Linked DNA regions of Tamandua tetradactyla. The protein of the gene in region 2 interacts with the protein of the main gene of each other region in a biochemical or structural test. Links are inferred from orthologs where the notes say so. Each region holds a gene or a part of one and is shown on either strand. Other genes may lie near its edges.

Region 1 (10,073 bases), on a different chromosome or scaffold from region 2:
AAAACAGAGGTGCAGAGAGGTTACTAAACTTGTCAGTGAGAGGTAGAGCCGGGAACTATCACGTTATACTGCCTCTCCCTTTTATTAATTTGAATTTGAGTCAGGTTGAATTTGGGAAGACAGCAGGACATTCAAACCCAAATGTCTGGGCAATGATCATCTGTAGCCCAGATCTGGGACTTAGGAAATTCTGGGCCTACCCTGGAGTCCAGAAAGTTTGACACAGATCCTTCTTAAGGCTTTTCCCTGAGTGGCCTGTAAGACTGCCCCCAGCCACACATTATTTACATCGTGCTAGTTTCCAGTCCCCAACTTTATGATGTTTCTTCTCGCGCTATCCTCTCTACTCCAGCTGACTCGAATTCCATTTACCCAAACACGTGCCAAGCGCTCAGGATCTCAGGGCCTGATCCACACGATCTCCTCCACTAGCAATATTGCCTCACCTCCACCTCCATTTGCCAACATCCTTTTCCTCCTTTCATCTCTTTCATTAGGTCTTTTCTCATTTTCTTTAGCTGATTTGATTGCTTCCCTTTTAAAAGCCTCACTGTACTTTGCTCTACCTTCTATGCTTTTACTGAGCACCGACTATGCACCAGATACTCTTTAGACCCTGGGAGTATCAGGGTGAACACAAATGCTCCCAGACCCTGTCTCATGGGGTCCATAGTGCTCCAAACACATGTAAAATCGCATTTGGGATGAGTGCTTTGAAGAAAGGGTGGTGGTACTACCGAGCTGTCATTACAGGGATTTGATCTAGTCAAGAGGCTAAGGAAGGCTATTGGGAGAGATTGATGCTTGAGGAGAGACCTGGCAGGAAGGCAAACAGGGGAGGGAAGCGCAGGAGAGGCAACCATTTGTACAAAGATCTAGGGGCTGACTCTACTATACGAATATTTAGGCTTGTATCATCGTTTTTGGTTGTGCTTGTCTTCTTGCCCCCAGTGAATAAAGCTCTAAAGCTTCTTTAAGGCAGGACCTATTTCTGGCCCATCTTTCCCCTATAGTATTTAGGCCTGAAGCTTGCCCAGGGTGGGGAGGTACTTGTCTAAATGGCCTGGGTGTGGAGGCAACCTGCCCTTGTGGACTCCCAGTCACAGCAGGAGCTTTAGGGTAGTTGCACAGGGCAGGATGTTTTAGGGGTCAGGGCCTCCAGGTCCTCTCTCCTACTGCCTCCCCCTTGCCCACCCTGCTTTGCCCACACCAGCCTTCATTGTGCACCCTTGAATACGGGAGACCGCGTCCCTCTCAGGCCTCTGCACAGCTGATACTTCTCCCAGCAATGTTTTTGCCCCAGAGCTTCGAATCATCATTGAGGTCTCCCTGGAAAGCAGCTATGTCTGAGCACCTCAGTTAAAGAAATTCTCCACCCCACCTACCCCAGTCACTCTCAATCCATTTTTTTTTTACACCATAAAGCTTACTCCAGTCTAAAAATTAACTGTGTCCGTTGACTGCCTGCAGGAGTATAAGCTTCATGGGGACAGGATATTTTTCTGATTGTTCTCTTCTGCTTCCCAGGTGAGTGGGCTATAGGAAGTGCTCTGTAGAATGAATGGATGGATATGGATGTCCTCTCTGAGTAAGTTCCCAGATTCAGGGCTGCAACTAGAGGTGGGATAGGTCCATGTCGGGTTTAAGATTCCAATGAGCACATATGAACTGTCCCCCTATGTCATGTACAAGACCCCCCTCCCCATATCTCTTTCTATCCTCTTCCCTTCCTTCGCATTGTCCCTGTCCTACCACTTACTAGCTATTTGTCCTGGGCAAGTAACTTCACCTTTCTAAACTTCAGCCTCCTCCTCTGTAAAAGGCCTGATAGCGCTGCACTCATAGGGTGGTGGTGAGGGTTAAAAGGGATCACTTATGCTTACCGCTTGGGTGGCCTCGCCTCACAAGGAATGCTCCAGGAGAATGCGCTCCTGGAGCATTCTCTCCTGTTGTAGTTTCCCCACGCTCGCTCGCAGCTCCCTGCGCGCCTCCCAACTGCCCACCAGAGGGCGCGCCACACCGCTCTTCCCGGCGGCGACCGCCGGCTCCTGCCCGCAGTGCAGGTGGTCGGGAGCTTACCTCAGCATGGCCCTCTTGCCTCCGGGGACCGCTCTGTCGCCCCCTCACCAGTGCTACATCTTCGCCACAAATATTTCAGCCCATTACCCCCAATACTTCATTCCACAGATATTTATTGAGCGTTTCCTGTATGCCAGGCAGCGTGCTGAGGGTCGGAGATAAGAATGATCAGATACTCCCTACCTACGAGCTGCTCCCAGTGTATGGCCAGAAAGGAGGGGTCGAGAGGCAAAGAGAGCCCAGCCCTGGACTTGGGGGCGGGAAGACAGCGACGGGGGTGCCCTCCAGAACCTTCCCTCTGGCTGGACAAATGGGGTCCCTCCCTGCCAGCCCCTCTGCCCCTCACTCTTAATACCCGCTAGTGGCATTACACGCGCCTACAGCGCACCGGGAATTCCCACCTCACCTCTTCATTCCCAACACCTCGGACCTCACTCCTCAGCGTTTCACACCAAATGCTACAGCATTTGTCCAACCTCCTCTCTGATTTCAAGTGCCTCACCGCTGATTGAAATCTCAGCATCTCAGAGGGAGGCCTTGCCCTCCCCCCGCTTCCCCTCCCCCACTCCCCCTCCAGTCAGGGGGTTGGAGGGGACCCCAGAAGCTACCGGCGGAGTGGGTTTCAAACTCCTTTTGGGCCAGGGGCTCTTTTCTCCAGCAACATCTAATGTAGAACCCCAACATACGTTTTGGGTAGATGCTGAGACATGACTGTAGTTTCTAGGGTTCTGTGGAATAGCAACTGAAAACCCCCGGAGGATACTCAAGACTGAATTCCCTTGGGGATTTATTTTACAGCATCCCCCAACGAGTGGGCATCTCTTGTCGCCTTCCCAGGACTTCAGCCCCCCTGCCATGAAACCTGCCTCATTTCTTCCAGTCTGAAGAGTAAGTATGCTTCTCCCCTAAAAATTACATTCCGAAATTAGGGAGGGAAGCTTCTGTCGTTGGTGGGGCTCGGGTATAACGTCCAGAGCCTTCAAGAAGGATCTACAGAATAAGGAGGGTCCCACCCAGCGGGGCCCTTGGGGGATTATCAGGGCATCAATTTCCTGTTTAATTCTCTGTTCCCCGCGCTGTGGGCACGGCCTGAGCGCTAGCGCTGCCCAGGGGACCGGCTGCAACCGGAACAGCGCAGCCGGCGGACCCCAGGAGGTTGCCATAGATACTGATACGCAGGGAGCTGATGAGCCGTCATTATTTATGTGTATCTTCCTTCTAATTGCTGTGGGGTAGCCGTAGGTTGTGTGGGTGCTTCAGCAGCGGGGATCAGGAGGGTGTATGTGAGTGTGTGTTTGTGTGTACACACAGAGCAGTCTATGGGCTGCTCCAAAACGTCTGAGCTGTCGGGAGAAGTAGTGAGGGAGGGAGGGAGAAGTGAGACAGAAGAGGGACAAGGAGAGAATGGATTGCGTTTCTCATTTCGTGGATTCTAACTGTCCACCCTATTTGGATGATTCGCAAAATAAGAGGCAGTGCCAAGCACATAGTAGGCAACTGATTAAATACTCAAGGAAAGGCAGCTCGCTCCACCTACAGTCTCGGGAGTCATGTCCAAGGCATCACCCCAATGTCTTTCTCATCGCTCTTCCCTTTACCCATACACTCAATGCAAAATGGTTGCCCTGCAATACTCAGCATGGAATCCTTATCCCCAAGTGAGGAGGCGATGTCCCCACTCATGGCAGTCAGGGTCATGGTCTTAGCTCTGCCTTACATTTTCCCTTGGGAAACACTCAGGGGACCCCACGGCAGCCCTAATCTGTGCTTGTTCTGACCTCATCCGATTCCTCACATTCATGAATATAAAGTTTCAAGGACCAGCTCCAGTTGGCCGGTTACCTTGAGCTCTGGCTAAGGGCACACTGAGGATGAACTGGTGTGCAGCCCCCAGAGTTGTGTTCCTGATGTTGACCCACAGTTGGAGACTGCTGCCTCCACTTCTGGAGTCCAGGCCAACTAGCTGTCCCTTCTGCTTTTAAGGTGGATGACAGAAACTCAAGAATTACCCTCATCCATATATATATACATATACCCAGATTGCTCTTTCCCACACCTGGACTTGGGACCGACCTGGCTCTCACCCTGGTGCTTCAAGATAGGAAGTGGCCTTGCTCCCCACTGCTCTGCTTCCTTTTGCCCTGGGGAGGGGTGGGGCCTGGTGCTCTGTCACCCCTACCCTTTCTCTTGGCCCTCCCTGCCCTCCTCCCAGGAAATCTCTTCATGCTTTTCCTCTCAGGCTCCATTCCCTTCTATTCCCTGATTGCCCCCACCTGGCAGTCTGGTCGCCAACCAATTCCCAGGGCTGCTGGGTAAGGAAAGGAGAGGAGCCCTCTCTGGGAGTTTTGCCCCACCCACCCCCCTTGGGGAGGCAGGAAGGCTTGGGATGCCTCTCAGACTCTCAGCTACCTCCTCTGGCAGAGCAGAGCTGCTGACAATGGAGGCCCAACTCCCGGTGGGCATCCTGCTGTAATCAAGACTGAGCTGCAGCAGTTGGCATGAACTCCTGCCTGCCAAATTAGGGCTGGCCCCCAAATCGGGGTACAGCTGCAGGGGCAGGCTGGGAATCCACCCAGCCCGTTTCTCCTCCACCAAGACAGTTTTGTGCCTCTGTCACACCACCCTCTGAGGACAAAGGAAGGGGTGGCAACTCCCTCTGCAGGTGCCCTGAGGAGCCCTTTCATTCCACAAATATTTATTGAGGGTCTGGGGCTGATTATACAATGATGAACAAAGCAGGCAGAGGCCCTGCCTTATCTGAGCCTACAATTTAGTGAGAAGGCAAATATTAAACAAATAATAATAGCTAAGACTCACATAGTTTTGATTAGGTACCAGGTCCTATTCTAAGTGTTTTACCTGATTCAATGCATTTAATGCTTACAAACCTAAGAGACTGATAATCGAGGCACAGAAAGATTAAATGACTTGCCCAAGGTCGCACAGCTGGTCAGTGAATTGCCCAGAACTCTAAGCCAGGCAGTCTGACTCCAGAGTTCACTCTTTGAACAACTGTACTCTAGTTCTCCTGCTTCTCATACCTATAAATGTTACCATTACAAAAAGTGATAGTGCCATAAGGTAAAAGAATGAGGTGTTCTGCAAGAAAATGGTAATGTTTTCTCCTTTGCACTTGCTGTTTTATCTCCATGCACAAATCCTTTTCTATTCTTTTCCACTTCATCCCTTTCACTATTAGTTTGAAAGAGATCCTTCTCTCATCTCTAAGGCACAGTTTCACCTGCAACCTTGCACTCCCTCTTCCCTTGGTGTCCCTGATCAAACTGTGCCTGAAGGGTTTCTACTAATAATGGCCCTGATGCTTGCTCAAGTCTAGACGGTCAGCTGCCTGAGGGTAGGCTGCTGGGAGATAGCTCTGCACTGGCTGGGGGGCGTCCCCCGAGTATGCAGGCTGACAGAGGCTCTTTGACCTTGGCCCCCTCTGCACATCATGTGAGCCGGGCTGGGGTTTTAGGATTTCGTGTGTGGGGTCCCTCAAGAAGCTCGGTAGTCCAGCCCCCCTACACACACACCCTCGCGCGCACATTCCCAAGCCCATGCAGGGTCCGCCCGGGAATGAGTCCATAGGGCGCAAACCTTTTAGCTCCCTACGCCTTGGGCGGCCTGGGGCTGAGCCTCCCCCTCCCGGCGGCTCCAGTGCACGCCCGGCTCTGCCAGGGCGGCACCCGGGGCGGGGCGGGGCCGGCAGCGGGAGGCCCCACCCCGGGGGCGGTCCGGGGGCCGGGCGGGGGGCCGGCGGGGCTGGGGGCGGGGCGGGCAGGCGGGCGGGCGCGGGGGTGTCCCTCCCTCCCTCGCTCTCCCCGGTAAAGTCTCGCGGTGCTGCCGGGCTCAGCCCCGTCTCCTCCTCTTGCTCCCTCGGCCGGGCGGCGGTGACTGTGCACCGACGTCGGCGCGGGCTGCACTGCCGCGTCCGCCCGCCCGCCAGCATGGCCACCACCGCCACCTGCACCCGCTTCACCGACGACTACCAGCTCTTCGAGGAGCTCGGCAAGTACGGCCCGCCCGCAGCGCGCCGCGGCCCCCGAACCTGCCCCGGTCGCCGGGGCACTATGCGGGCTTCTCGCCCCGCCCCCCCGGCCCTGCACCGGCCGCTGCGGCGCCCCCTCGGCCTGCCCCACCCCCCGCCTTTCCCGCCCGCCGCCTCCAGGGCGCCCTCACCCCCAGGCCCCTGCCCAGCAGCCCCCTCCGCGCCCTGCAGCAGCTGCCGGGACTGCTGCACCCCACGCTGCCTCGGGGACTGCAGCCCCCGGACCGCTCCTGGGCGCCCTCCAGCCCCGCCCCTCCCGCACCCTTTAGGCGCTCCCCCTCCCGGACCCGGCCTGCTTGTCGTCCCCTCCCGACCCTGCTCAAGAGCTCACTCTACCCTGTCCCCATGTCCCACGCGCCTGGCACTCAAGACCCTCCCCAGCCCTGCAGCTCCAACCCCGCTGCGGTGCCAGGGTGTGTGTGGGGGGAGGATGTTTGGTGCCCGGCCCCGCCCCCCGCCAGTGCTGCTTCCAGGATCCCAACCCCGCTGCTGGACAGTGCTGCAGCACCCCCGTCCCCTCCCCCCATCCCTGCAGTGGTCCCGGGAGCCGCGCGCCGCAGCCGCAGCATCCCCCTCCCCTCTGCACTGAGCTGGCCGCTGCAGCAGCCCGGGCCCCCCCACCCCCACCCGCGGCGCCGAGCCCGGCCACTGCAGCCCCCGCCCCGCCCGCCCCCCTAGACGCTTCCAGAGCTGGAGAGTGCCCGTTCCCATTGGGGGGGGGGGGGCGAGGGCGTAGAGCAAAATATGGGGATGGGGAGTTGTTGACGTCTGCGACCAATATCATTTCCTCTTTCCCTGCTGTCAGTTGAGCCGGGATGCAGTTGGATGAAGCCCGCCGTGCGGGGTTCGAGTCTCACTTTCCTCACCTTCCCCATGGATGGGGGAGATTTCCCTCTCTGGGGATTGTACCCTCTTATCTCTCCTTCCCCTGCCCTCAACTATTGCTGCCGGGAGAAGGACAGGGGCCTCTGTGTTCCCTCCTCTCTCCTGGGTTTCTTGGTCGGGATTGCAGGGCTATCAGTGAGATGCAGCAGGTGTGTGTTTAAGCATCGCCCACCAGTTCCCGCCGTGCAGCTTGCACTGGGACTGCTGCTCTGGCCCAGACTGGATGAGAAGGTGGGAGTGGGCTGGCAGGCTACCCCACATTTGTTCAGTGTCGTGAGTGACCACATTCTCCTGCCATATGTTGGACAGTGGTGGTCATGACGCAGGTGTGTGTGTGGGGGGTGGGGGGGATGGATGGGTGTGTAATTTTGGCTAAAGGTTTGAGGAAGGGAATATCACTGTCCTTTGACTTGAAATGTGTCTGTGTCACTTTGCCCTGCTCTGTGTCCCAGTTCTTTCCCCTTCTCCCTCCAGGGGTGCTTTCTCTGTGGTCCGCAGGTGTGTGAAGAAAACCTCCACGCAAGAGTATGCAGCAAAAATCATCAATACCAAGAAGTTGTCTGCCCGGGGTGAGTGGCCCCAACTCGACCTCTCCCTGGGGGGATGTCCCCTAGGTTCTTGGCTTTTTTCTGAAGATGCTGCTGGGGTTAGGGGTTCTGTGTTTTAGGTCTTGGAGAAGAGTTGGAATTCAGGGTGGGTGGACTTTGAAGCCAGGGGAAGAGTGGCTTTGGGAGCTGGAAGTGCTCAGACAGAATAAGGAGCATGTAAAAGATGTAGGTGGCCTCAGGGAGGAGTGGTCCCTGAAGGCTCGAGGGAGTTTGATCCTTGGGAAGGTGGGGGATATGGAGAGTGGTGGGGTACACAGAATAGAGAGCTCTTAATTTGGGGCACTTGGAGCCTCCCTCTTTGGGGGCAGTGGTAACCACTCCAGGCCCATTCTAATTGCTATGTCCCAGTGGTGACTTAGGATGGTAATGCAGTAAATGAGCAGCTCTGACAAACCCAGCCTCCCCCTACCCACCAGGCGGCAGAACAGACTCCCAAGGGAAGGCAATCTGTAAACATCAGGGCAGGCTGTTACTGACGAGGGCTCCTCGGGAACAAATCCTGCCAGATGAACTTGATTGTTTTTTTGATCAAATTACAAAGTTAGCGGTGCAGCAGCAGATGCAGTCTGTCCTGGGTGGAGGGTGATGCCTCCTGGCCTGGAACCCCCCCTCCGCCCCCCCATGGCTTGGTCTGGGCGAGAGCAGCACTGCCTCAGGGTTCAAGGATGGAGGAAGGCCTGGCCTTGGAGCCTGATTGTGGGATCCTTCCAAGGACCTGAGGCCAGGAGGGTTGGGTCCTGGCTTTCACACCTAGAAGGTACACTCCCTGAACCACATATTGGGTGCTTGCCAAAGTCACCTCATCTGATAGGTGTAGACGCAGCCATGAGCAAAGTGCTCTGTGAGCAAGTCTGGCGAGAAGAAAGTATGTAATGGGTTGAGTCAAGGGCTGCAGGGTGCAGCTGGGGGACAAATGTTATGGGATTCAGAGAAAGAAATTAGGGCTGGGCAATAGGGCACCATAAATCATCAGGAGTCAGGATAAGTGCCCTGAAGAAGACATGGCTGTTGTCTGTATTGAGATGGGAATCTCTGGCATAGGAGATGTAGTCAGATGCCTCCGAGCACTCAGAGACACCATCAGATTCCACAGAGCTGACAGTGGGCTTCAGTCTTGTTGATGGCTGTCCTGGGACCTGTTCAGCAGGCTGCATCTGCCACTTGGCTGGAAGGGTCTTTCCCTGTTCCCCTGAGCAGGGCTTGCCTTCCTGTCTCCCACCCAGTCCCCGTCACTTGCTGTTCATGTACATTGGCTATGAAGTTGACTTGTTTGTTTTCTTTTTCTCTGGGTACCTTGAGGCTGGGGCAGTGGTTGCCATAGAGATATGTGGGTGGTCAGATGCTCTCCTCCCCTCGAGTAGATGGGAGCCAGTGTAGGCTGGGTTCAGTGGCAGATGTTCTCTGGCCATGGTGAACGGTGCAGGCAGGCATGGTGGTTGGAGAATGGTTACCTCCCCAGGCCTGTATGGCAGAGTCCTGGGGCATCAGAGATGGGGCCAGTGTCAGTGAGGCAATGCTTTGCTATCCTCATCTCACCTGTCTTCTGACCTAGGGTTGAGGGAAGGAGAGACAGCTGGGAGCTAAATTCTAGGATGTGATGATAGCCTGGTTTGGGTTTTCACTTTTCTACTCCTTTCCTGTCCACCCGAATGTCCCTTTCCCTCCCTTACCCTTTTCCTACCTTTTGCCGTATAGTAATCTTTCTTTCCCTGCCCAAATTGGACTAGGATTGATTTCTCTTTGATTTTGTTCCTAAAGAAGAAGATTCTTGCATAGGATCATATGCTCCAGACAGTTACTCCCCCTCTCTTGAGATGGTTATACCCAAGACTAGAGCTCCTTTTTGTTGCTTTTGTGCCATATTACTTTGGGACAGAGGCCCGGTCCTGGCTGATAGGCACATATGCTAGGAAGAGGGGTCAGGAATCTGTAAGTTCCAGTAATGTTTGGAGGTGGCAGAGTGGGAGGGCATTGTCATGGAGATAGAGGGAGCAATGGGGGCTGTGCTGTAGGTATGAGCAAGGGGGTGGTGTGAGCTCCTGGAGAGGGTTGGGCCAGGGTGCCCACGGGCTGGTGCCCATGGGGTTAGGAAGCGCAGGCCGTGGCTTCCCTGCAGCCTCTCAGTTTACGCTGTATATTTTATAAAGGTGCAGCAGCTGGGGCTGGGTTTCACTGGTCGCTGTCTGTCTGTCTAGGGCTCCGCAGGTGTTGGATTTCTGTGTCTGGGAATCTGGAGGGCCCACCAGGGTCATCGATGAGGTTCTGAAGGGGCTTATTGTGTTGGCTGAGTCTCCTGCCTGTTTTCTTTCTCATTTGTGACTCTCTGTACTGCTAACCCAAAGGAAAGAAAGAGAGCCATGAGCTGTTTCTCCTTGGCTCCTTGGCGTCAGTGGTGGCATGGGCCAGGAGGCAGGTGGGTCAGATCTGGATAGGAAGCCTTCTTTTGGTCCGTT
Region 2 (10,315 bases):
TGTTGTAGGTTCAGGTGGTTGAAATAGCCTAATCGAGGCTGAGGGTCCTGGCAAAGAGGCAACAGGAGGACTTTACTGGTTGGGCGTAGCTCATACAAAGGCTCAGAGGTGGGACTTGACTAGCAGCATGGCCAGAACCTCACTTTGACTCTCTCTCCTTCCCATCCAGTGAACAAGCAGCTTGCCGATAAGGAGCGAGTAGCAGCTGCCCTGGAGAACACCCACCTACTGGAGGTTGTGAACCAGTGCCTGTCAGCCCGTTCCTGAACTTGGCTTTTGGCTCCCAGCCCACATACCTCTGTCTGGGCCACAGCTCTACCCAGGGCTCATGGCCTTGTTTTCTGGAATCACTGACAATGGGAAACTTAACATTTTGCATTTTGTAATAAACTCTTAATTTATATTCATTTCCAAGCATGCCTTAGAGTCTTTCATCAAATGGGGTCACTCAGGGCTTGGGAGGGGTATGAGCCTATCCAGAATTCAGTGATGAACAGTTTATTGATATTTTAAATTTCTCCCATTGTTTGGACTAGGAAAAGTTGCAAGTGTACAAAACATCGAAAGGATAGTGAATAGTAGTGATCAGACCTGTATACCCATCACCTATATTCAATGGTTGTTAATATGTTGCAACATTTGCTTTTTTAATGTGTGTATATAAGTAGAATTTGAGAGAGAGCTGTAAAGACATGACCCTTTCCTTCTACGTACTCTGTCCTGCACTCCTATGAGAAAGCCTTTACAACCACAGTACTGTCACCTGGCCAAAATTATGAACAATTCCCCAATACCATCTAATATGTAGTCCAGATACAAATTTCCCTAAAATTTCATACATGGATTTTTTTTTTATCAGACTCCAATAGAAATTCTCATATGACCGTGTTTGGTTGTTAGGCTCTTTAGCCTCTTCAAGAACTGTCTCCTCCTATCCTGTCCCTTACTTTTTTGTGTCTTTCTTGACAGTTACTTTTTTGCAAAGTCCAGTCCAGTTGTCCTAGAAAGTCCTTCAGTCTAATATTTTCCTTGGTCACCTGTGTTTCCTGTAACCTGAAGTTGGTCTAAAGGCCTGAATGAATTTGGGTTTGAGTTTTTTGACAAGAACCCTGTCCAGGAGTGTGTTGTGGGTCCTTCAGCATCCACCAGTATGTGCGTAATGCCACCTTGCTTTGCCATTGGTGATACTCAGTCTGGTCCTCTGGTCAAGGCAGTGACATCTGATTTTTCTGTTAAAAGAAACACGAGGCACCCTCTCCTTCAGTGCCTGGAGATGTGTGTCACGGCAGGTGCTGCGATGAAGGAAGCTCAGCACCACAAGGGTATGTGCTCAGTTCTGGGCCTCTGCCTCCCACTGGCCCTGTGCCCAGGACACAGCTGGTCACCAGGACAGACCATGGGGCTGAGATTTTGTCTCAGCCAGTTAGGCTCTGTGGCCATGATTCCCTGCCTCAGTTTCTCTCTGAAGATAAATGGGAATATTAAGAAGTCTTGCTTTGCTTCACTGCATTTCTGCTGAGGGTCGGATGTGATCGTAGAGGTCTGTCTGTTCTGAGGGCTGGCTGATGACGTCAAGCCTGTCCTGAGAGCGCACACTGGGCTGATACTTTATACTTACTATCTAGTCAGTAGACCCTTGATCCAGCCCTGTGTGGCAGTTGCTTTTTTTTTTATCCCCATTTTGCAAGTGAGGAAATCTGCTTCTGGAATAAGTAATTTAAAGAGGGACCTGAGCAGTTTGGTGGGCGCTGCTCAGCTGGCAGGGGGCGCTGTCACCTTGATGAGAGGGCCTAGGCCCACCCACCTGGACTACTAATGCCACCCAGGAGGGAGGGACTCTGCATCTGGTGGTCCAAGCAAGAGGTGAAGCCACAGTTTCGTTTCTTCATCTGTAATGGCAGTCACCTGGATCTGCTGTGTGGAGATGTGAAATGGAACTGAGCGTATTTCAGGATCTTCTGAGCATCCTGCTCCCATTTTCGCAAAGGAGGAAGGTGAGTGCTCCAAAGAGGAAGGTGCTCAGCTGGGGCTCTGCCAGTCCCATAGAGCCTTCCTGACTACCAGACCCCTCCATGTGTGCCCCACCACGTGTGCACCTCTGTGCTGACAGCTCTGGTCTGTCTGAGGTGGCCGTGGTGGCTGTGTTCAGCTGGGACGATGGTTCATGAGGGAGGCAGGTGTGACTGAGTCACTCAGCTGGCCCTTCTAGCAATCTGATCATGGTGGGCAAGGGACGACAAACTGCTCATGCCACAGCTGGCCTGTCAGTCCTCTTGTTAATATTGACTCATCCGTGCCTGGCCCCTGGCTGCCTGCTGGAACACCATGTGTGCATCCTGGGCCAGCGTCCAGGGAGTTTTCTGGAACTCCAGCCCCTGGTAGAGGGGGATGGTGAGGTTTAAGGCCCCTGAAACACCCTCCACCAGCTGTGCCTGGCTCTGCTCCTTCTGGTCAGTGACCTCTCAGGCTTCAGTTACCATGTCTACGAAATGGGAACAACAAATCAGAACTAAATGGGGTTGACCAAGCAAAAGGTGACAGGTATGAATATGCCCACCCGTGTCTCTTTTTGCTTTTCATCCTGCCTCAGAGGTCTTCAGGGGGGTGGTTGGGAGGGCAGATACTGAAACCCATCCAAGTTCCCCTTTGCAATATTTTGCTACTTGAGGGAGGGAGCAGGATGTGGGATCCCCCAGAGAGGGGGTGAGTAGGGGGATGGGAGATAGGTACCTGCTCTTCTGTACCTCTGTTCTTCTCCTGGGGTCACAGCTGAGGAAAGTGGGAGGGCCTCCACATATTGATTGTCCAACTATGGATAATAATAGTGTTTTTACTGAGATACTCCTTCCTGCCAGGCCTATATCAGTCTCTTTACCTCTGAATGTCATATTATTTATGCTTCATAACAACTCTGTGAAGGTATTATGATCCCTGTTCTACCCAGAAGAAAACTGAGGCTCAGAGAAGATAAATGGGCAGTGGTGAAACAGCTAGCAAGGGACAGAGCTTGGATTTGAAGTCCAGGCTGTCTGACTCCACAGAGATTGGAGAGGTGGGGACCTCTAGGCCACCGATATCTCAAGCTCTTTTCCCCACCTTGGCTTGGGTATGTTTCAGCCTCAGTTTGCTCCTGGGCAGCTAAGCTCAGCCCAGAGAGCTGAAAGAACCAAGCAATGGGAAGAGGGGAATGTCTCAAGGTCATGTCCTGGTCTTGGCCCCTGGGGCCTGTAGCTATACCTAGGCTTGTGGAGGGTGTCTCTGTGGCCTGTTGGGGCAGCCACCTGAATGCCTGGGGCCTGAGTGGCCGCATGTGGTTGCAGTTCCCTTGGCAATGAAGAAACACTGCTGAGGTCACGAGCTCAGATGATAGGAGGGGAAACTCAGCCCAGTTTCCTTGCATGGCTCCCTGCTGGGAAGAGCCATGGCTATGCCCCACACCCACCTCTGCCCGACAATCAGAGGCCCTTTCCAGTAGCCCAGCCAGGTGTGGGGTGAGTGTGAGAGGGTATAAGCACCCTATCTAGGATTACTGATGGGAAGGGGTCTGCTGAATCTTGAGACTTTGTCTTTTCACAGGCCTGGCCCCATGACTCCCTCTTGTCACTGGACTTCATCTAGGAGACTAGAGCTGGGGCTACCCCCAAGATCCTCCAGGACCATGGTGGGGGGGGGGGGGGGACACAAATGGGCAGGCCAGCTCTCAGCCCAGCTCTGGCCTACCTTGGGGACTTCAAAAACAAGAGGAACCCACATGAGCCCCTGAACACTTGCCCAGTCAGGCACTCCTCAATCCAAGGCCTCCTCAGGTGTTGCCAAGGAAACTGATGTACCAGCCAGAGAGCCAGACCCAGGTCTCCACGACAACCTACAACAGCTCACCAGGGTCCATGATGTCACCTGAGCCCTGCGTGGGTGTCCCACACCCCCATCACCCTTTGTCACAATCAAACTACAGAGTCTGAGAGCAGGGTCCTATCGCAAAGCATCTCCCCTGCCTGACCCCAATCTTCACCCACCCAAGATGAGTCATGATGGGTCATGATGCCCAATTTACAGCAGGGCAACCTGAGGCAGGGACAGAAGCAAGATGTAGTAGGCTGGAGGCAGAGCCAGGACATCCTCTCCCCCCTGTGCCCCCGGCCCCTACCCTAGGTCTGAGAGAGGGTGAACTCTGGGCAGCGGTAGCTAAGACCCCCATTCCCCTTGGCCATACTCTGCCATCAGGCCCTTCCTAGGTAGGAGTCTGAATCTCTAGGCTCTGGGATGTGCCCTGAGCAGGAGGCTCAGATGGGCTAGAGGGAAAGAGGAAAGATTTAAAAGTGGCCACAGCCAGCCCTATCCATTTCTGCTGGCATCGATTCCCATCGGCCTGGATTTCCCCAGTTCTGGGCAACCTCCAGGCCAGGAGCAGAATGACCAGGGGCAGAGCCAGAGTCAGGTATTTTTAGTGGAGTTGCTGGCAGCTGCTTGGAGGGTGCTGGGGGGGAGGGTAGTTGCGGACTGAGTTCATCCTTTCCCTTCTCTGGACCCCGTGTCCCCTCCCCAGGATTCAAGCACTTCTACCTATAATACTCTGTCTGCTTCCTTTGTGCTCACCCAGGACTTAAGGGGTGGCACAAACCCTCACTCTGAACGGCAGGCTCATTAGAGAGGACTGCTGCTGAGGCCAGGGGGGTGAGAAGGACTAGTTGGTGTTAAGGTTAGAAGCCCATAGTTAGGATCTGTAAATTCTAGCTTGTGTCTAGGCCAGTGGGGAGTGGGTGTCACAGGATAGAGTAGGGTGAAATCTCTCCAGCCAGAGATTGGGCTACAAACAGGGACTGGGGGGGAGAAGTAGGGTAAATTCACTCGTAAGGAACCAGACCCAATACTTCCCCAGAGGCAAGCTGTGGCACTTGGTTGGTCTGGCAGCCCCACCACCAAGGGGCGCTTCCACCCCTTCCAATCCCCCTCAACTTGATGACAACCCACCCCTACCCCGCGAGGTTCACACACTCCCCATCCCTTCCCCCCTCCTCCCGCCCCTCAGACAGCTGCTCCCTGCCGCCCGGGTATTCCAAGACAGCTTTAACGCAACCCACCTCTGGCGGCCGGGGCGGGGTCTCGGTGGGTCCGGAGGCCTGGGAGGAGCATGGGGATTCCCCTGGGGTGGGGGTGGACACGTCAGCCCGGGTCTGTCCCCGCATCCATGCGGACCAGGGCGGGGGCGGGCGCCTGGGCGGGCGCGGGGGCGGGGGGAGGCTTAAATAGATGGCGCTGGAGCCGCGACCCAGAGCGGGCTGAGAAAGCGGCGGCGGCGGCAGCGGCGAGGGTCGGAGTGACCAAGCCCAAGTCTGCGAGCAAGCTGTGTCCGAGCCCGGGTCCGGGTCCTGACCGCTTCCGTGTGCTAGTGGGTGAGTGTCGTGGCGGAGCGGGGTGGGGTGGCCGCACCGTCTGGGCTGCGGATGGACGGGTAGGGGCGCAGGGACCTTAGGGCTAGGAGGGGACTGTGGCAGGTGCCGGCCACTGAGCATCTTGTCTGATTCGGGATTGCGCAGACGGGTCCCGGGTCGGGTCTCCCACCCCAGCTGCACCGCGGCTCACGCGGCCATCCCTGTCCCCGGTCCCCCAGCTAGTGTCGGACGCGATGACTCTGAATGGCGGCGGCAGTGGAGCGGGCGGGAGCCGCGGCGGAGGCCGAGAGCGCGAGCGCCGTCGGGGCAGCACACCCTGGGGCCCCGCGCCCCCGATGCACCGCCGGAGCATGCCGGTGGACGAGCGCGACCTGCAGGCCGCCCTGGCTCCCGGCGCCCTGACGGCAGTGGCGGCCGGGACCGGGACAGAGGGTCCCAGGCTGGCCTGGCCTGAGGGCTCCTCCGACTCGCTTAGCACCGGGGGCAGCGACTCAGAGGAGAGCGTCTACAAGGTGCTGCTGCTGGGGGCACCTGGCGTGGGCAAGAGCGCCCTGGCGCGCATCTTCGGTGGTGTAGAAGACGGACCTGAGGCAGAGGCCGCAGGTGAAGGGACGGTTAAGCAAGGCAAACCCCAGGGTCAGGGCTGGGAGCACGGGGCAGGCAAAAATGGGCAAATGCTGTGGGATTCTGCCCTACCCACCACTTCACAGCTGCGGAACTAAGAAGGTACTCCCAGCCCTGAATAGGGGAACATCAAGAATTGCTCTGCATGATGGGAGGGGGCACAGGGACAGGACAGCCAGAGGGCGTGCCTAGGAGAGAGCCTTAGGTGGCCAAGACCCCCAGGGCGTGACAGTCGATATTCTAACTCTGGTCACTGTGGTCAGAGTCGCTCCAGGGCCCAGGCAGCAGGTGGGTGGGGAGAACCTGACTGGCAGCTAAGGCCATTGCTAGCTTCGGAGTATCTAGATGGAGGTATCTAGATGAGTGGGGTATCTGGGCCTGGGGTGGCAGCTCAGGCCATTGCTAGCTTGGTGATGGTGGGGGTCTCTCTCTACCCCCATCCCTGTCACTTCTGTCTGCCTGCCCTGGGGACTCTGCAGGACCAGGAAGAACGTGGCAGCCATCTGCAAGTGGGGGCCCTGGGGAGGAGCTGGGGGTGTGGCAGAACAGGGAATCTGGTGCTGGGGGCTTTTGGCAGCCAGCAGGTAACGTACTACCGGTCTCCTGCCTAGGATACACATACGATCGCTCTATCACAGTGGACGGAGAAGAGGCCTCCCTCATAGTCTATGATATTTGGGAGCAGGTAGGATGCAGGCTGAGGCCTAGGGCAGGGGTGGGAGAGGTGGGCTGGGGTAGGGGGCAACATGGAGTGATGGGCTGGTGGCCAGAGCCTGGGGACAGCTGAGCAGACCTGTGCGTGTGTGTGTGTGTGTGTGTGTGTGTGTGTGTGTGTGTGTGTGTGTGTATTCTCCAGGATGGGGACCGCTGGATGCCCGGCCACTTCATGGCCATGGGGGATGCATATATCATCGTATACTCAGTGACGGATAAAGGCAGCTTTGAAAAGGCCTCAGAGCTGCGGGTCCAGTTGCGGCGGGCACGGCAGGCAGACGACGTGCCCATCATCCTTGTGGGCAACAAGAGTGACCTGGTGCGCTCTCGTGAGGTCTCCGTGGATGGTGAGCAGGGAGTAGGGCATGGGTTGGAAGGTTAAAGAAAGGAGATCCCAACTGGGTTGTGGTCCTTCCAGCTTTGGCTCAGGCCGAGTCTCTGGGGATCATCAGCGGCTAAAAATGTTCAGAAAGAAAGCTCAGAGTGGGGGTGAGGGAGCTGCTGCCTGAGAGGCCTGGGGAAAGGACCAATTGCAATAGGGGAGCAGGCTGCTGGGTGCTGAGCTAGGGCACTTCAGAGCCCTCCTCTCCTGTATCTTTTGGTCCTTTGCCTAACAGGTGAGGGGACCAGGTCAGGAATGCAGAGATTGGGATTACAGCCTGGACATGTCTTGGGGTTTGCTTATCCCTGGGGATAGCCCTTGCCTCTCGGGCTCAGCGTCCTCCTCATGTGCCCTAGAACCCAGCCCACTCAGAGGAACCCAGCAGTGACATGGTGACATTGCCCCCATTGCACTGGGTCATAATGTCAAATCGTAAAACGAGCACCAAGCAGTCCAACGAAGTTCTTATTTTCCTGTGTTGACTGCTGTAGCACTTCTGTTTAAAAACCAGACATCAAATTATTTTGAGCAGTGAATCTCCTTTTGCGGGCTCCTGGGCTCCCTAAACACAGGCCCTTCACCTGCTGAGTGACACAGCTGTGCTCAGGAGCCCCACCACAGGAGCTGGGTGTCTCCGTGTTCCTGGGGAGGACCCTGGGGTTCCCCTTTCCCTGGCCCACAGATCCCTGAGTGACAGCAGCTGTGGGTGGCTGGGGGTCAAGCAGTCCCTCACCCACACACCCTTTGTTCACCCGCGCTTGCCTGTCCTCCCCCCACCCACGCTAGAGGGCCGTGCCTGCGCTGTGGTCTTTGACTGCAAATTCATTGAGACATCGGCGGCGCTGCACCACAACGTCCAGGCGCTGTTCGAGGGCATCGTGCGCCAGATCCGCCTGCGCAGGGACAGCAAAGAGACGAATGCCCGGCGGCAGGCCGGCACCCGGCGGCGGGAGAGCCTCGGCAAGAAGGCCAAGCGCTTCCTGGGCCGCATCGTGGCCCGCAACAGCCGCAAGATGGCCTTTCGCGCCAAGTCCAAATCCTGCCATGACCTCTCGGTCCTCTAGGCCCCACAGGCACTCCCTGCAGGGGGCAGACAGATGGGCGGGTCGGTGGGCCGGCCCAGCCAACCGCCCTCGGTGCCTCGGCCCGACCAGCCTCTGGACCCTTTGGAGTTGCCAGCACTCCCACCTCACGGACGTGGACAGACAGACAGTGCTGTCCAGGGAAGCGGTGTCCAGTGGCCACGGAGGGCCAGGCCCCGCAGAGATGTGCATGCAGGCCCATGCGCATCCCAAGGCAGAAGCCAGAGCCCAGCCCAAGGGCCAGGCCTGTGCTTGGGGAGAAGACCTGACCTCCCACCTCCCTCCACACCCTGGAGGGAGGGAGGCTGTTCAGCGTGGTGGCTATTTGTTTACATGCAGGTTTTTGTAATAAAGATTATTTCTTGATAGGTCAGTGTTGTTGACTACTTGTTTCTTCTTATCTGGTGGCAGCAGGAGCAGGAAAGCTCCCGAAGTTGAGGGACGGGGACTTGCCGAGTCACCCCAGTGTGTGGCTTTGACTGTCCTAAGGGTTAGGCCAGGCTTAGGCAGCTGGGGAAGAGGGAGCAGATGTGGGGCCCGGCCTGCTGGGGGTTGATGCATCAGGAGGAGATACAAACTCTTCTCAGCCCCTATTATCTGGATCTTCCCCTGGCATGGCTCAGATGATCCAGTTCAAGTCACCCCACTGCATCTAAGGGAAACTGAGTCTGCATGAGCGGTTATGCCCTGTCTCAGATTTTACAGCCAGATAAGAACCCTGGTTTTGACTCCAGACTGTTGTCTCTGTGCTGCGCCATCCTGAGGGTCTGTGGAAGATTCCAGAGACTCCCCAGCTAGGAAAGGAGACCAGCTGCTTTTCCCAGGGTGGGGATGAGGGAGGCGCACTCAGGCAGACTTGATTCTGAAGCCCCCCACCCTTTCTACCTGGCTGGGACTGGGCTTCTGAAGGGGCCCTCGCTGTTCTTTTCCAAAATACCTCATGCTCAACATTGGCTAATTTGGTTCTGGCGGGAGCAGCTCCCTGGAGTCTGCCTGGCCTGGAATAAGAGACTTTGCATTTGTGTAAGAATACATGCACGTGCATAACTGGAGCATGCCTACTCCCCCATTCCCACCCCACCACCCCTGTCCCGCCATCCCCCCCACCCTCATCCCAGGCCCGGCCCCCCTCCCCAGCCCTTCTTGGCAAAGGGTGCCTATTAAGAGTTACTTACACAGTTTCAAGAACAAGCAAGACTATTGGGCAATGGCAGTTGGGGAACTGAAGTCTAAGGTCACATGGGCAGGAAATGACTGAGGGGGTGCTGCTGTCCAGATCGGCCCATTTCCAAAGCCTGGAGGCAGCTCTGGATGAGGTGCGGACTGCATTTGAGAAGGTGCTGGGCCAGGGTCCTCACGTCCTTTCAATAGTGGAACTTATTCACAAACCTCTGCGAGTGCCCACAACCTGGGCAGAACCCTGAGTGCAACTGAGATGGGAGGGGGCAGGAGGGCGGCCCCTCAGTGTGTGCAAGTGGGGTCCCTCTGAGACTAACCGCCTCCCACCCCCACCGAGGGCATTGTTTAATGTTTCAAAGCTGTTGCTGCTCCCTGGGAACAATCCGCACCCCAGCACACCCTGGGGCATGTGGAGGGCGTGGTTTTCTCCCAGGAGGTGATAATCTGAGTCCTCAAGATGAACCCAGGGCTTCCTGGCTCTGCCATTTTTACTGCTGTGTGTCTCTGGGCATACTTATCCTCTCTGCACCCCAGCATGCGACATAGGGGTGATGACCCCTTCAGATGATGGGAGCAGGTGGAGTAATGAGTTATGTGCTCAGAGCAGTGCCTGCTGCATAGTAGGAGCTCATCACGTGAGATTCCTCAGCATCCCCACCCCCACCATTCCTGGCTGGGCTGCCTGAGTGACTCTGAGGCAGGCATTCAGCCTGTGGTAGACAAAGCTGGGAGCAGCTAAGGGCCCAGGCCAGATTCCCGCCTGAGAGAGATTAGCCAGATACGCAGTTGGAAGGACTCAGGAAGACCACAGAAAGCTCAGAGGATAGGGACAGACAGGAGGCCCTTCTTACCCTTGTCCCTCCCCTCTGGCTTCTCCTGGCTCCACTTGGCTGTCCCCACTGGGGGGAAGGGCCCCTGGTCAGCCCTGAAACTCCCTCAAG

Evidence for each region.
Region 1: of the proteins of RRAD (region 2) and CAMK2G, one has a biochemical effect on the other in vitro, tested with the Homo sapiens proteins (2 studies listed by BioGRID, with this or other methods). The link is inferred for Tamandua tetradactyla from reciprocal best matches to the Homo sapiens genes RRAD and CAMK2G.

What each region holds. Positions count from the first base shown.
Region 1 is NC_135339.1:22,773,987-22,784,059, forward strand, and holds the start of CAMK2G (calcium/calmodulin-dependent protein kinase type II subunit gamma), read left to right. Parts: upstream 1-5,944; 5' UTR 5,945-6,026; coding exon 6,027-6,091; intron 6,092-7,486; coding exon 7,487-7,581; intron 7,582-10,073.
Region 2 is NC_135342.1:60,614,449-60,624,763, reverse strand, and holds RRAD (GTP-binding protein RAD), read left to right. Parts: upstream 1-5,281; 5' UTR 5,282-5,393; intron 5,394-5,450; exon of another isoform or gene 5,451-5,611; 5' UTR 5,612-5,626; coding exon 5,627-5,996; intron 5,997-6,628; coding exon 6,629-6,702; intron 6,703-6,873; coding exon 6,874-7,078; intron 7,079-7,899; coding exon 7,900-8,177; 3' UTR 8,178-9,230; downstream 9,231-10,315. Other genes in the region: CIAO2B (cytosolic iron-sulfur assembly component 2B), read left to right, coding at 170-267. UniProt on the Homo sapiens protein: May regulate basal voltage-dependent L-type Ca(2+) currents and be required for beta-adrenergic augmentation of Ca(2+) influx in cardiomyocytes, thereby regulating increases in heart rate and contractile force.